Linked DNA regions of Lonchura striata. The protein of the gene in region 2 interacts with the protein of the main gene of each other region in a pairwise test. Links are inferred from orthologs where the notes say so. Each region holds a gene or a part of one and is shown on either strand. Other genes may lie near its edges.

Region 1 (7,047 bases), on a different chromosome or scaffold from region 2:
TACCTTCTCAGATAAAATTGTAGCACAGCCATTTTTCTTAGACCTCTTCATGAAGAATAGGGTATTTAGTTTGATTTTCTCCTTTTCATGAAGGACCATGGATAAAAATATTATTTCCCCATTTTTTTTATGCTTCCCAAGGAGCTGGAACTGTTTTTTTGGGTTCAGAGGGTGCACTTCATGGAGGAAACCTGCCCTGAACAAAGCTCTGCTCCCTTAAACCTCAATCTATTCAGATTTCAGAGATGTAGAATAATTTCCAAGGATTTCAGCAGATAAAATCAGACAAGCCAGTCTCAGCTCTGTGTACTCAGGCTGAGCGTGTGCTTTTCTATACCTTCAAAGAAGTCATCCACTCCTCCCCATAATTTTGCTTAAAAAGGACAAACATATATTTTCTGATCCAGTAGAAAAGAAGTAAATCTGATTCTTGAGTTTAGAATGCCAATGTAAATTTGGGTTAAGAATGCCATCATTTCACCAGTTTGTAACTTTGCTCAAAGTCTGAGCAGATGGCAAAGACTTTCCATCAGGAAACTGCCACCCAAAGGCACCAGCCTGCCATGACTATTCTATCCTGTTCTGTCCACAGGAATAACACAAATTCATGCTGGGAATGCTGCAAGACTAAAAACAATATTCATGTGTAAAATCAGGACTGTATTTTCCTAGGAAAAAGCTGAGTACCTGCTACCTGGACTAGTCCATTGTTAGTTAAATAAAACACAAAAGTAGGCACAACAGACTGCAATTCACCATAACCAAGAGATGGTGTGATCTTCCAGATCCACCCTGCAGTGTACTCTGCTCATCCAAAGCATGATGGGCCCAGTATTCTCAAACTGAAACTCTGTTCATCAGCAGAAACTGAAGGCATCGGGCATGCTCCTAATAAGAGACTTGAAAATTCAATGGGAGACTCAAACCCAAAGATTTTCAAAAACACAGAAGACAAAATAGCCCTATATGTTCAAACAGCTTCCGCTGTGTATTATTCCAAAAGCTCATCAACTTTCACAGAATTTATGACTCAGAAGACTCAGTCTGCCCATTTTTCTTATTTCCCTCAGACACAGGAGGCATGTTTACAAGACTGTAAATTCAAAAACCTATTCATTTGTGACCATAGTTGTCAATAGCCCTTGATCAGGCCTCACTATTCCATGAGTTTCGTTTACTTGAAATTTGGCAACTACACCATTTTCCTGACAATTTCTAAGAATATAAATTTATTTAACTTCTGGGGCAGGAGAGCCAGTGATAGTGGTACATGCATGTTTGATTGGTTTAATTATTCTGGGTGCAAGAGTCTCCCATTTTTTTCTCAATAACATATATAATGAAATACATTTCATTTCCAAGATAGAGCAAAATGAACTGTGAGCCAAGAGTTTGGCTAAGAAAAGGAACTTCTGGGTATAAGCTAAATCTGTATGTTGTTGAATCTGTAGTTATGCATTAAATTCTAGCAATTGTGCAAAACCAGAGAATTCTCTTACTGAAAAAAACCTACCAAAAGCCACATGTATGCCCACTTACATTACTATTCTAATATTGTTTGGAAGTCCATTTGATTGCCGTTTATTTTGCTTTGTGACACACTAAACCACAGACTCCACTACAACTGTGATGTTTACATGCAAATATAAGGAGCCTTGTGGGGTGTTTAATGGCAAACCTTCCTTTAACCCAGGACACGGACTTGGGGCCAGCAAGCAGGAGCACTCTCAGCACACTGCAGGACCCCACGTGCCCAGATTGTCTCACATCAAACTGCTCACAGAGGGAGCAAGCAGAGGGGAAAGGAAATAGCAGCAGGTTTGTAGTGTCAGCTCTTCCCAGGGACCCACTCTAGAGTAAATTGTACTGTTCTGGACATTAAAACAGACATCGCTGAGCCATTAGTTTTTGAAAGATTGCATTTTATAAGGTGGTTTTTTTACTGTGTGATGTTTGTTGTGCCTTTCAAATACCATAGAGACTACTACAAGTGCAAAACTTATGTGCTTTCTACTATTTGTAAAATTGAAACAGAAAATATTGACACTTTTTTTTTCTAATGTAAACTGCCACCAGAACAGGCTACTTCCATTTTGCAGTTCTGCTACTGCTGGACATGGATCTTGAATAACACGTTATTCTCCTCTTGTTAATTTCTTGGCCTTACATTTTATTTCATGAAGCCAGTTGGATTTTTAATGCATATCACAAAAAACTATGGCCTACTTAAAATAAAAAAAAATCTTTTAGAAGTATTTAGAAGGTAAATAACTAAGTAGTACCACACATCTTTCAAGTGCTTTAGCTTTGATTCCTACTTGTTAAAGGCTCTTTTAAAACGGCAATTCTGTCCTTTGTGCAAGTTAACATTATTTATTTAAAGATTACTTTCCTTCCCAAAAGTACGACTTACCAACTCAGACACAGATTTTTTCTGTAGCACTGACCATAAGTGACAATCTTGCAGAAGCAACTCTAGGATTCCCCTTCCCCTACATTTGTTCCCCATAACTTCTGGCCACTGCACATTATACAACACATTATTTATTCAGTCTGCTTCTACCACACCAAGTGGGAGAAGCTGCATTGCTATCAAAGTGGGAAAGCTATACTTCATGCTGTTCTGTTTGGAAGATCCAAACTTTGTACAAATTTGATCTTTTCAGGTACTCCCCGCTGGCGGAGTGGATGGTGTTAACCCATCACAGCAGAGACAACACCTGCCCACATCCTGCTCAGAAGACAGAAAGACAATGCTCAAATGGCAGCTCCCTGAGCTACTTACCCACGCCACTCTTCTCCGTCTTGTGCCATCTTGCCATGGCACGTGAAGGGAGCGGCTCGCAGGGATGCCCCCCGAGGAGCCCAGGTGCTGGGGTGCAGAGCTGGGGGTGACCAAGGCAGGCCCCGGAAGCGCCGTGGCTCCCCAGCCCCGGGACGAGCAGGCTCTGTGAGATCTGCTGCCTCTCCGAGCTTCCTTCCTCTTTTCTCAGCTCCACATACCGTGCCTGTGTCATGGGGGAGGGGAAACCCAGCCTGGGTGTTTCTTTTGCACCGTGTCGGCTGTGAACACAGAAGCACAAAAGGACCAAAACCACGCCAGGACCGTGTGGCACCACCCCTGGACTTCAGGTTGGCTCAGTGACCATCTCTGACCATGGCTTAGGTCAGTGCAGGAAACCAAACCAGCACCAGGCTGGAAAGGTTGGACTTCAGAGGATGCTACATCTTAAAAACTCTGCTCTTCTAACCTGCCCTCAAACTCAGATTTGTGCTTTTGATGTCACCTCTCCAAAAAGAAATGGCGTGAAGACAAAGCCACATTTCAAAACACACCCATTCTTTTAAATGTCTATCATTTTATGTTTGGAGGAAGAAGCAGGAGACTCTTCTCTAAACAAAGCAGTACTTTCTTAAAGACTTATTGTCAGTACAAAACTGCCAGAAGTAATTTTTAGCATATTTCCAGCCTGTGCTTGCACACAGCTGCTGGGGAGCCAGCCTGGGTGAGGACATTTTGGATGTGCATAGGACCAAGCCAAGTCTTTTGGAACATGGATTAAGGACAATATACCGAATTGAAGGCAGTATGTCACCTTAAAGCACAAAGTCGGTGCTTTACTCATAATTTAGAGTTAAAAACCCTCAAATTAAATCCTTGCAAGATTTACTGCTTGTTTGATCTTCTGCTTAGTACAACAGATGCAGCTGACAGTCTTGTCCTCTGGATATTCCACTGCAGCTTAGCAATCATTGTTTATCCAAACTGTTTAACACTGCCGTGCTACATCCATCTCCTGATTTTTGATAACCATCTCCTCTGGTTTTGATAACACATGACATTTTATTTCTTGATTTTTGTTAGCAATCATGTGGAGCACAGACTGCCAGCCTCTCTCCTTGCATGTGGACTTCTGATATATATTTTTGCAGGAAAATCACTTTAACCTTCGCCACAGATTTGCTTGAATTGGTCTAATCTTAACCATACTAGCTTAGACAACAATATAGCTCTTTTCTCTCCCCTAAAATAACATTGAAAGTCATGTTATCTTTACTAAAGTGGGCTAAATTCCTAGCAGCTCTCATTATTTCCATTTACAGAAAACAAGCTTAATGTAAAAGATCTTTATCTTTTCTGTCCCTGGAAAGATTTTGAGGCCAAACTATTTCATCTTTCAATTTACTCTGGGTTTTGAGCAGTAACTTCCTAACCAGTGGTAATTTCTTCCTCACTCTTCCCAGTCCCTGTTGCAGCAAATCCCCTCTTCCCATTCACTACTTGGCCTAAAGGTTGCCTTGTTTTTATTTTCTCGTTCTACCTTGCTCTTCCTTATTGTGCTCCCCTGTAAAGCAACAGCCCAGAAGAAAAAACTGCTTCTTTCTAGGACTCATTTACAAACCTGCTTCTCCATGGATGTCTAATACACCTAGTTAATACTATTTTCTTCCGAAAGTAAATGATCTAAAATAAAGAAATTTCACCTACAAACTGGTATCCACTTCTCTGATGGCCTGACGTAGTTCTGCAGAGCACAGCACAACAAAGGGACAGAGCTCACATCCCCTCTTGTACCCTCTGGACTTGCCCAAAAGCCAACTCAAGGGCCAAAACTCCCACAGGAATTGCTGCCTCCCGCTGCCATCCCCTTCCCCTCTCCAGCTCTCAGCCCTGCACAGCTGCTGGAGCTTCCTCCTGGCAGATTTCCATGATGCTGCTTTTGCAGCCCCTCCGCCACCTCATCTCACTCAGCTCCCACCTTGTCTGGCTGGCTCTGAAAAATTCCTGCCTCTAACTCCTAATGAATGGATTGGGGAACCAAATCCTTCCTTAGCTGAGAGAGGGAAGTGCCAGAGCAAAGCACAAACAGTAACCCTAAAATCCTGTTCTTACAGCAGAGAACAAACCCCAGCACAGGTCTAAGGAATTAAGGTGGGCAATAGTTACACCCTTTGTCCATGGACGTTTTTATTCCAACTTGGTTTATTTGTGCTGTTACGTCCACATATTGATATTCCACAGAAAACAGCAGGCAGAGTCATCACCCTCACATAGCTCACCATTTCTTCCTTCAATCTTTTTCAGGACAGAAGGTTTTTTTAAGGAAAATAGAAAATTCCTCGTTTCCCTGAAAGATGAAACTCTGTAGAGGAAGCTCACAAGAAAAACTTACCTTTTGTGGGCTGGGGACAAGCAGAAGAGAGACAGTTCTTGCTTCCTTCAATACTGTTATCAGTTCCAGAAAACAAGACCTTGTAAGATGATGAGTAGCTAACTACCCATTTTTTAGCTAAACTAATTTCCTTTATAAAGAATTTGAGCAGAACACAGAAGTTCCATTTAACTCTATTTTATGCCAAGATCTGTGAGCACAGTTGCAGAAAAGCAACTGATGAGACACACCAGAACCAAATAAGAAAATACAGCAAGAACTCTCATGCACGGTACCTCAAGTGTGTTCCAGCACACCCAAAGCCTGGAGCCCAGACACATTCCCCCACCTGCACTCCTGCAGAAGGATGTGTAAACACAAACCCACTACATAAAATGGTCAAGGCTGCACACTCCAAGTGGACTCCAGCAGCAGAGACTGTAAAGCAGCTCCTGGGGGTAATTAGATAATCCTAGTCAGCTTCATTTGTTTGTTGAAATGGCATCCCAGTTCTGTTTGTCACATAAATTAACTAGTTGTTTCAACCTAGAAATAACTTTAGAAATGCCACATGCCCAGTAGCTCAACATAATGTTAACTATAACAGAAATCAACACACAATTAATTGTCTTAATAGACAATCTACAGCTCAGTACTGCCATTTAAACACATTATCCAATGTCAGCTTACCAAAGGTTTTCCTCTAAGTAGAGCAATCATGTACCTCAGTTGTTCTAGGTTGTCTCACAGTAGTGACAGTAAACAAATGTAACTTTCACCATTTTCATAATAAAGGATTTGTTTCTAACATTTTGTAGCATGAAAAACAGGATTTCTTCAGCATAACATAATTTAAGTTCACATGTCAAAGTCAAGAAGAGCAAGAACTATTTCATGGCTATACACTTGCTGTCAGTAATAATACCTTAGTAAAAGTTAAACTCAGCTACATAGCAAATTTCTTACAGCAGTGAAGTGACAAAATATGATTCTGTGACACACAAATTTCTGATTATTTTGTCCAACAGAAGTAGCAGCCACTGGGCTGTGCCTAAGCAGAACTGTGCAGAAATGCTCTGATAATGAGATGAAGCTCCCTGGAAAGGGAGATGTGCTCATTTATGGTGACATTCCCACCTTTTTAGTCACTTCTGCTGTGATCAGAATTCAGTTTTTTTTGAGGTAAGTGACTGGTGAGCTAAAGTCACCAGAGTTAACAAAATCCCAGGCACCACTTCAGACCTGGCAGAACTGTAAACAAACCAGGGGGTTGCAAGATTGCTCCCCAATGTATTCTTTTCCATGATGGATTTTAAAAGAAGTCTTAAAGAACTTCCACCTTAATTACTGAGTCTTTTATTTAGAAACTGGCTAATCCATTCACCAGAGGGAGCTCAAACTGTACTATCATGACTCAAATGGAGTACTCCAACTTCCATACAAATACCTAGCTTAAAAGGTCTCGTCAGAATTTTTCTGCAGGAAGTTACAGAATTGTCTCCTAAAAACAGGACACACAGCGCATGCATTACACTTTCTTATCATTTATTGAGAGGTATTTTTTTAAACAAAAAGTTCTACAAAAGACATCACCTTCATTTAAAAAATTGATACATGTGTCTTTTCAAATACAATACAGACTACATTTTCTAAAGAAAGAAATAAACCTTTATTTTAATTAATAGTACAAATACAAGAATCCAAACAATTTCAAACACTGACCAACAAAACACATGAAGTGATTCACATGCACCTTTGCAAACATGCCAGCCTGAAAGTTGAAAATTAACACTTTAGGAGGAAATATATTAAGAATTCTGAATCTGTAAACTGGAAGAAATTTAGGAGCACATCACTCACTTGAGTTCTCCATCAACCCTGTCTAGTCTGTCTT
Region 2 (7,765 bases):
AAAAAACTTAGGGTGAGGCAAATATCATTAGCCACTCACAAGTCCTCCTAGTAGATGACTTACCAATGACTTTTCCATTTCCAATAGTGCAACAGTCATGTAGGATCTACTTCTACATGAAACGGGCTATGACCCATGGGAAATAAGTATCTTCTGATTAAGGCACTCAATTGGCCATTCAGTGTTAGAATCCACAACAGATTCCCTCAGGGATTTTTAAAGAAATCAGGTTTTGTCTCCACACTTTGTATTTAAATAGCACTAGTACCTTCTACCTTCATTAGGACCTTACCTTTCTTTCTGTTGTTTGGCATGTATGTAAATAGTCTGCCAAAGGAAATGTCCCTTTTCTGGGGATTATACCAGACCCAGGCAAGGACTAAAATAAGTGATTTCTAGTCATCACTTAATGGTGAGGGATAAATAGCTACTGATTGAAGTATGCATCTGAAACAGGTCAACCTGAAGGACACAGACCCACATATTGAAAACATAAGAAATATGTTGGTGTAAATATTGGTTAAGTACACCAAAACACACAAACAAAGAAAGACCACGCAACAGATTCAAACAAACAAAAGAAATTATTGGGGGAAAATGGGTAGTCTTATCTTTACAAGTAAATCCACTCTTGCAAATGAGAAGCATTTTTCTGGAATACTTATTGCTTGTGTGCCCTTCTGCGGTTTCTCACAGGAACACAACTGTTCTCAACCTTGGGTTTTAGCAGCCAATATGAAACAACACAGCACTTTCAAGTCAGACTGAATGCTTGAGGCTCTGAGCTCCAAAGCAAATCTACACTTATGTATTTGATACAAAGTGTGCTGGCAATCAAAAATGCTTAGGACACCATAAAAAGAACACCTGGCTGGTATCGTTAGGGATGTAGCTGATTGCACGTTACATTCTAAAGAACAGAAATCCAGAGTCTGGAAAAAATATTTCATCGTTAATATAACCTAGAAATTACTCACTACTACAGAGATCCTTGCACCAGGATCCCATTTTCTTCTGGCACTCAAAAAAGAAAATTCTGCCCTTTCTATTTATGCCCAGCAGCAACCAGTGCATTAATTTTAATTTTCTTAAGTAGTAACATTCTTACTATGGTTAAGTGTTTTAACAGTCGTCATATGTTCGACTCTAAAACAAATGTCTAGAAAGCTTGACAGATGGTGTTTTGAAGGATAATGCCAGGTACCTGGTGTGAATCTGACATTAGCATTCTCTCAGACAACTCACCTTCATCTTTTAAAAAATCCAGTGAAATAATGCATAGTCCTACTTAGGCCAAGAAGGAATGAGAAAATCGTTCATTTATTCAATCTCACAGTTGCTCAAAATGCAACTTCTACATGAACTTGATACCTAGAAAAAACAATTTTCCTTTTACTTTTATTTGCCTACTTTCGGTTTTGTCCTTCCTGCATTTTCCTCCTTTCCCAGACACTCACACACACACTCTCAGAGGATACTTCCCCCCTCTGGGAAAAGACCGAACTGCAAGGTTCAAAAAATACATTCCTCTAAGAAATAAGGACTTAGTTTATGGTATGATTATAAGAAAAACAACTATAAAAAGTAGCATGGCTGCCTCTTTAGCAGCAAGACAGCTATGACAAAACGGTACTAAATGGGTCTGTATTCATACTGAAATTCAGTATGAATTTTAAAGCTATCAAACAGAAGCACTCCAACAAAACCTGGACTCAGTATCTTCATTCACAATCAATAAAACATACATTAAGGAAAGACAATATAAAAACTGCTGACAGAGGAAAAACACTTACTGCTTAGCATGGTAAATCTGAATTAGTTATGATTTTCTTTAGGTCATAAACAGAACTTGGGAAATTATTTGCCACCTCTGAGTTTATTTGAATGTGTGACTCTCAGGGGCCTGACCATATATTTCTTTGCTTTAATCTCTTTTAAAAACTTAATAGGTTGTCTTGATTTATGCATCATTCTTTACTACTTCTTTTCAACATTAGGTTCCAAGTTTAACAGGGATTTTATAAAGACTATTAAATATCTAAGAAGAAAAACATGTATAAGAGGAACTTAAAGGATTACACTTTTGGCAAAAGTTAAAATTCCATACCACGAGGTCTTCACGCAACCGCTATACTGAGCAATTATTACAAGAGAGACTAAATGATAAACTTTTTAAAGAACCTTTAGGCGAGGTCCAACTAAAACTCTACTCCAACTAAAGCAAGGAAAGGAGGGCGAGCTACAATGAGTATCCAAATGTTATAACCAGTGTATTCTGATCTCCGCACAAAACCAAGAGGAAATCATCATGTCCTGGATGAAACTGTCATGAAATTGATAAGCCATATCAAATCAATGTCTGACATCGCGCAGTCGACTAAAAACAGCGCCGCATTAACGGCATGATAGTATCACCATATAAACCTTATTACTTCAGCGTGGAAAACAGGATATAACGAATGCAATGAGACGCCAGCATCTGTCTTTGTGTAAGTGAGCCCGGGAACCAGGGGAGCGCCTCCCGCACAGGCGACCCAGCCGCGGCAGCGCCGGCGCACGGCGGGGAGCGAGCGCGGGCGGCGGGGAGCGAGCGCGGGCGGCGGGCAGCGGGGCGCTCGCTGCGGCCGCCGGCGGCTGCTGCCGGACGGGTCCCTCGGCAAGGCTCCGGGGCGGCCCCGGGCGCCCGAGCCCCGAACCGCCGCCGCCCCGACCCCACGCGCGACCGGGTCCCGCCGCGGGCCGCTCCGCCGCCCACCGGCCCGGACACCCGAGTTCGCTCCCTGTCAGTCGGCCGGGGCCGCCAAGCCCACCCCGAGGAGCGCCCCGGCCGGGGGAGCGCGGCGCGGAGCCTCACCGTCTTCCAGGAGGCGCATCGCGTGAACAAAGCAGGGATCCAGGCTGTCCTTCTCGGCCATCAGCTCGGGCAGGTACTTGTCCTGCTCCATCGCCGCGGGCACGCCGGGCGGGCTGCGCGGGATGCCGGGCTCGCCGCTCCGCGCCCTCGGCCGCCCGCTCGCCGCTGGCCGCGCCGGGGCCGCCCCGCGGGTGCCGCCGCCCCTCGCGCGGCGGGCGCTGCCCCGGCCCCGCCTCCGCCTTCCCCTCGCGCCGCGCGGGGGCGGGCACGTGCGCGGGTCGCCGCGCGCCGCTGCTCGCGCGCCTTCGCCCCCCCGCCTCCTCCTCCCGCCACTGAGCGACCCGCGGCCACCCGCGGCCTTAAGTAGGGAGGCGGAGCCAGCCGGGCCCCGCCCCCGCCGCTCCCATTGGCGGCTCCGCCGCGCCGGGGGCAGACTCGCCGTGCCATTGGCTGTCGCCAGGCGGGGCCCGCGGCCGGCGGGCGTCCGCGGAGGTGTGTGCGCCTGCGTGTGTCTGTGTCTGTGTTGTGGTTTAGGACTGGTATTACCTAATTTACCGCTTCCACTAAAACCACGCTGCAGCTCGCTCTCCCCACCCTTTCCCCATTCCCCGTGGCAGGCTAGAGAGGAGGATTGGAGGAATTGAAGGTAAAGATCACGGGTTGGAATAAGAACAATTTACTGGAAACAGCAATGAGATAAGAAAATGAGCAGTAACAGCAATTATATTAAAAACAAAAGTGTTCGAGAGAGATAAGTGATTCTCATGCAAAATGATTAGAATCGAGGTTACCTCGCCGCACCCACCCCGCGCTTACTGAACCAGAAGGAACCCCTTTTTTAAGGAAGAGACTTCTTTCCCCCCTAAGTCCAGCACCGGCAATGACCTGAGGTGATAGCGGAACAGCCTCTGGGTCCTGGCCATGTCCCCTCCCGGCTACGGCCAAAATTAACTCTGTCCAGGCAGGAACCAGGACAGTCTGTGCGTCTGTCACTGTGTGTGTGCTGTGTCTGTCTGTGTGTCTGTCTGCGTGCAGCTGTGTGTGCCAGTTTCTGCGTGCCAGCGCGAGTGCGTGTCCGTGAGTGGCGTCCGTGGTGCCGGTGCGCGCACGCGTGACCGTGTGCGGCTGTGCCGGTGCTGCGCCTGTGGGAGAGCGGGCACGTGTCCGTGTTTGTGTGTGAAACTGTGTGTGTTTGTGTGAAACTCCGTGTGTGCGTGAAACTGTGTGTGTGTGTGGGCGTGCACTTGTGTGAAGCTGTGCGCGCGTGTATGAAACCGTGTGTGCGTGCGTGAAATTGCGTGTGTGTGTGTGTGTGTGAAACTGTGCGCGCCTGTGTGAGACTGTGTGTGAGAGAGAGCGGGCTGCGCGGGAGAGGCCGTGCTGCGGTGCTTTCTGTGAGCCTGGCGGTGGTGTCTGTGCCCCTGTGCTCGTTTGTCCACGCGTGTCTCAGCGTGCCTGTGCCGCCGGTGTCGCTGCGTGGGCCGCCCTGCCCGTGCACGCCGGTGATGTGCTGGCAGTGGCCGTGTCCCTGCGCGGGGCCGCGGCTCCGTGCCCGCCGTGAGCCGCCCGCCCGCCCGCCGGGCGCTGTCCGCGGTGCTGGAGCCGGGAGGCAGCGGCTCTGCCCGGCTCTCTCTCCCTTCCCTCCCCGGCGGTGCCTCCCCCGAGCTCCGCCGCGCTCCCCGGGCTTCTCGGCCCTCCGCGGTCCGGGGACACGCCTCGCTAAAGCGGTGCCGCATCGGCGGCGTGGCCGTGCTGGAGCTGCCAGGCAGCTTCTCCCCTGAGGGTATGATGAGCATCAGCGGCCGGGCGCCGCCGCTCACAGACCGCGCCGAAAATGTCTGCCCGTGCCTGCTGTGCGCAGCTGGAGAGGCGCAGCCGGGGCCCGGGGGTCCTGTGGAAAGGGCGATCTCTGTCGAGGAATGCCGTGCTGCAGCTCCCACGGCCACGCCTGACAGAATTAGAACTATTATGCAATTAAAGTGTCTACAGCTTGGGTAAATAAAATTTATTTTAATTAGGGTTTAGCTTTAAGTATACATTTACTTTAGGTTATATTTATTCAGGATTTTGCCCCAACAGACCATACAGGAATGTGTTTTGATTTCGAAAGTAAACAAATATGTCTAAGTCATCTCAACTCATTAAAATTCCATTTGTGGGACCTCAAGAACAAGCAGTCTATGGCACCATACAACATTTTGTGCTCAACCCCTATGTCACATTCTTAGTATGTACCACTAATACTACTATCTTAGTATTTATTCTAATGAAATAGACAGTTGTTGCAATAATACATTTGTGAATGGCCTAGTACTGTTCAAGTATTTTTGTTGCTGTAGAGGAATTTAGATTTTGGGGTCTTTTTCTTTGTGGTTTTGTTTTGGTTGGGGGGAGTTGGCAGAGGAAGAAGGAATGAAAAAGATAAAAATCAAAGTAAAATCTTTATAATGGCATCCACAAGGTTTTGAATGTGTTGTACAGACATTATATAAAGATTTGATGTGCGATGTTTTCAAAATTCTAAGATATGTGCAGGCAACGTTTACGCAATTTCCACTCGGCATGCAAATAATTGAGGGACAGCACGTGTTTACAAAAATATGTAGAGAATGTCGGTGACCGATGCCTTATTATTCTGTAGTATTTCTAGAAGGGAGGAATAAAATACCTGAGAACAAATCTCCTTGCTGAGAAAGAATAGGAGCAGGAAAATAGTTGGTTTCAGCAAACTTATAAAACACTGAGGAAGCAGAGAAGACTGATAGCAGAATTGAAAGGTTTAATAGTCAATCAGCTTTTACTACAAATTTTGTGTGGGGATAAAGGGAAGACATAAGTCCTTCTTTAAAAAACAAACAAATAAAACAAAGAAAAGCGCAGAACTCAGATAGTTTATTAATAATTTACCCTGATTCAATTTACTGCATGAATAGTTCTCCTTTCCCATTTAACAGCGTAGGAAGAAATAGTGGTGTTTGCAACACAGCTCAGGTCTGTCTTGCTCAAAAGCTTGCCTGTGTCATCAGATTGTATTTCTGCACTTCTGTTTTCCAGAACAATTCAGGCAGGTGCTCCACAGTTCAGAAAGACAGCAGGCCAATGATAGGTGTGTTCTCCTAAAGCAACTTCAAGTTGAATGTAAGCCATCCCCCCAGAAGTAATCCTGGTCTGGTAGCTTTCAAGACATACCATATGGGCATGTATACGGAAAATGAATTTTGGGTGTTTTCCATCTGGGGTGTTATAGGAATAATGCTACTTTAGTCTGTTTAATTGTACTTAACCTACTTAGATCACAGGAAGCTTTGACTTACACACCTTTAAATTTTTTAAACAATAGGAAGTGCTAAATTCATTAAACTCTTTTTTTTCTGGTCAAAGAGGTAGACAGCAGGTTTCATTACACATATTTTTACAGCAAACTAGACAGAAACAAGTTCTGTGTAAGTTCATTTGTGAAAACTTATAAAGTTAAATTGACTTTCAGTGATACTTAGGCTGCAAAGCCACTGAGATACCTTTCTGAATTTCACCTTATACCTCATTAAAAATAAAAAAAGGCATTAAAATCTGTCAGACAGGAAATATAGACTTCTAATGACATCAAACATGACTTCATTGCTAGTTGGAGATCAATTTTTTTCACAGCGCTACTAAAAACCAAAGACACATTTTACAACTCTTTAGTTTGAAGTGTCAAGACAAATTGAAGTTTATCTGTACTATATTTTTTAATGCTAAGTCTGATAATGAAATGGATCGCAGCATAACAGATTGCAGTTTATTCAAAGACAGAACAGGTAAAAATCAGTATGTATTCTTGCCAGTGCCATCCAAATACATTGTATTATCATGTAGAACTGAAGTCAAAAGGCAGTGGATCCAAGCAATTGAAGAAAAACCCCAAACCTTGCATTTGCTTATTCAAAAATTATTAAATCTTTTAAGAATTTGCAGTAGAATGAATGGTCAGTGTGAGCTCAATTAGAATGAGCTGCCCTTCTGACACCTCGCAATAAAGTTGATACAATAATTTAAATGAATAGTTAACTATGTGTGTGGGAGTAGACAGAGGACCACATACATCAAAAAAATCAGAATAGTCAAGAGTTTTGTATTTCAGAAATTCAATTTGCTTTGAAATTTCTTTACTGGTTCATTTGCTTTAGCTATGAGTAAGGGTTATCTGGTTCCTGAACCAAATGCTGATGAGCATTAAAAAAGAAAAAAAATAGGGACTTTCTTCTATAATCTAAGTAACCATCTCCGTCTCTGAAAGTAGAATTATAATAGACAATATATCTAACAAAGAGGCAGCAGTGCATGTGCAAAAAAAGAAGGAATTGCCCCCACATTCTTTACTATAGTTTATTTAATTCCTTCTTTGAATACAGTCTATACCCAGGCTCCATCTGATCTCTTCATGCTGTCTTATGGATACCAGTTCTTGTACCTGGTGATTTCATGGTTTGATCATGGGACAACTGAACATGCACAAAAGTTGTTTCCTTGTAACAGCACTCAGATGATGTACTGAGTGCTGATGCACTGGCTTTGGGCAATGGTGGGTCCAGGTGGAAGTGGCTACACCTTCTCCTTGTAGAGGCCAGCCTTGTAGACTACCACACGGCCAACAGCTTGCTGGATAATCCAGAAGGCAAATGTGCATCAGCAGATCATTTTCAGACTATCCCAGGCACAGCAGAAGACTCAGCCATATATGGTCCAACACAGACATAGTTGATATCTGCGGTAAGTCACTGATTTCCACAGGGTTTTGGTCTCTTCACTCGTACAGCTTCTTAAATTGACACATTCTTTACAGATTAGTTATTAGTCTATAAAAATCAAATAAATCAGCTTCCCTTAAAAAAATATATCATTACTTACTTATTTCCTTTCAAGACATTA

What was found.
Region 1: the proteins of KHDRBS2 (region 2) and DOCK2 interact in binary tests that used the Homo sapiens proteins (3 or more experiments, as listed by UniProt). The two-hybrid records come from large-scale screens. The link is inferred for Lonchura striata from reciprocal best matches to the Homo sapiens genes KHDRBS2 and DOCK2.

The regions. Positions count from the first base shown.
Region 1 is NC_134617.1:14,571,339-14,578,385, reverse strand, and holds the start of DOCK2 (dedicator of cytokinesis protein 2), read right to left. Parts: upstream 3,018-7,047; coding exon 2,786-3,017; intron 1-2,785. UniProt on the Homo sapiens protein: Involved in cytoskeletal rearrangements required for lymphocyte migration in response of chemokines. Activates RAC1 and RAC2, but not CDC42, by functioning as a guanine nucleotide exchange factor (GEF), which exchanges bound GDP for free GTP.
Region 2 is NC_134605.1:88,486,110-88,493,874, reverse strand, and holds the start of KHDRBS2 (KH domain-containing, RNA-binding, signal transduction-associated protein 2), read right to left. Parts: upstream 3,015-7,765; 5' UTR 2,946-3,014; coding exon 2,855-2,945; intron 1-2,854. UniProt on the Homo sapiens protein: RNA-binding protein that plays a role in the regulation of alternative splicing and influences mRNA splice site selection and exon inclusion. Binds both poly(A) and poly(U) homopolymers. Phosphorylation by PTK6 inhibits its RNA-binding ability.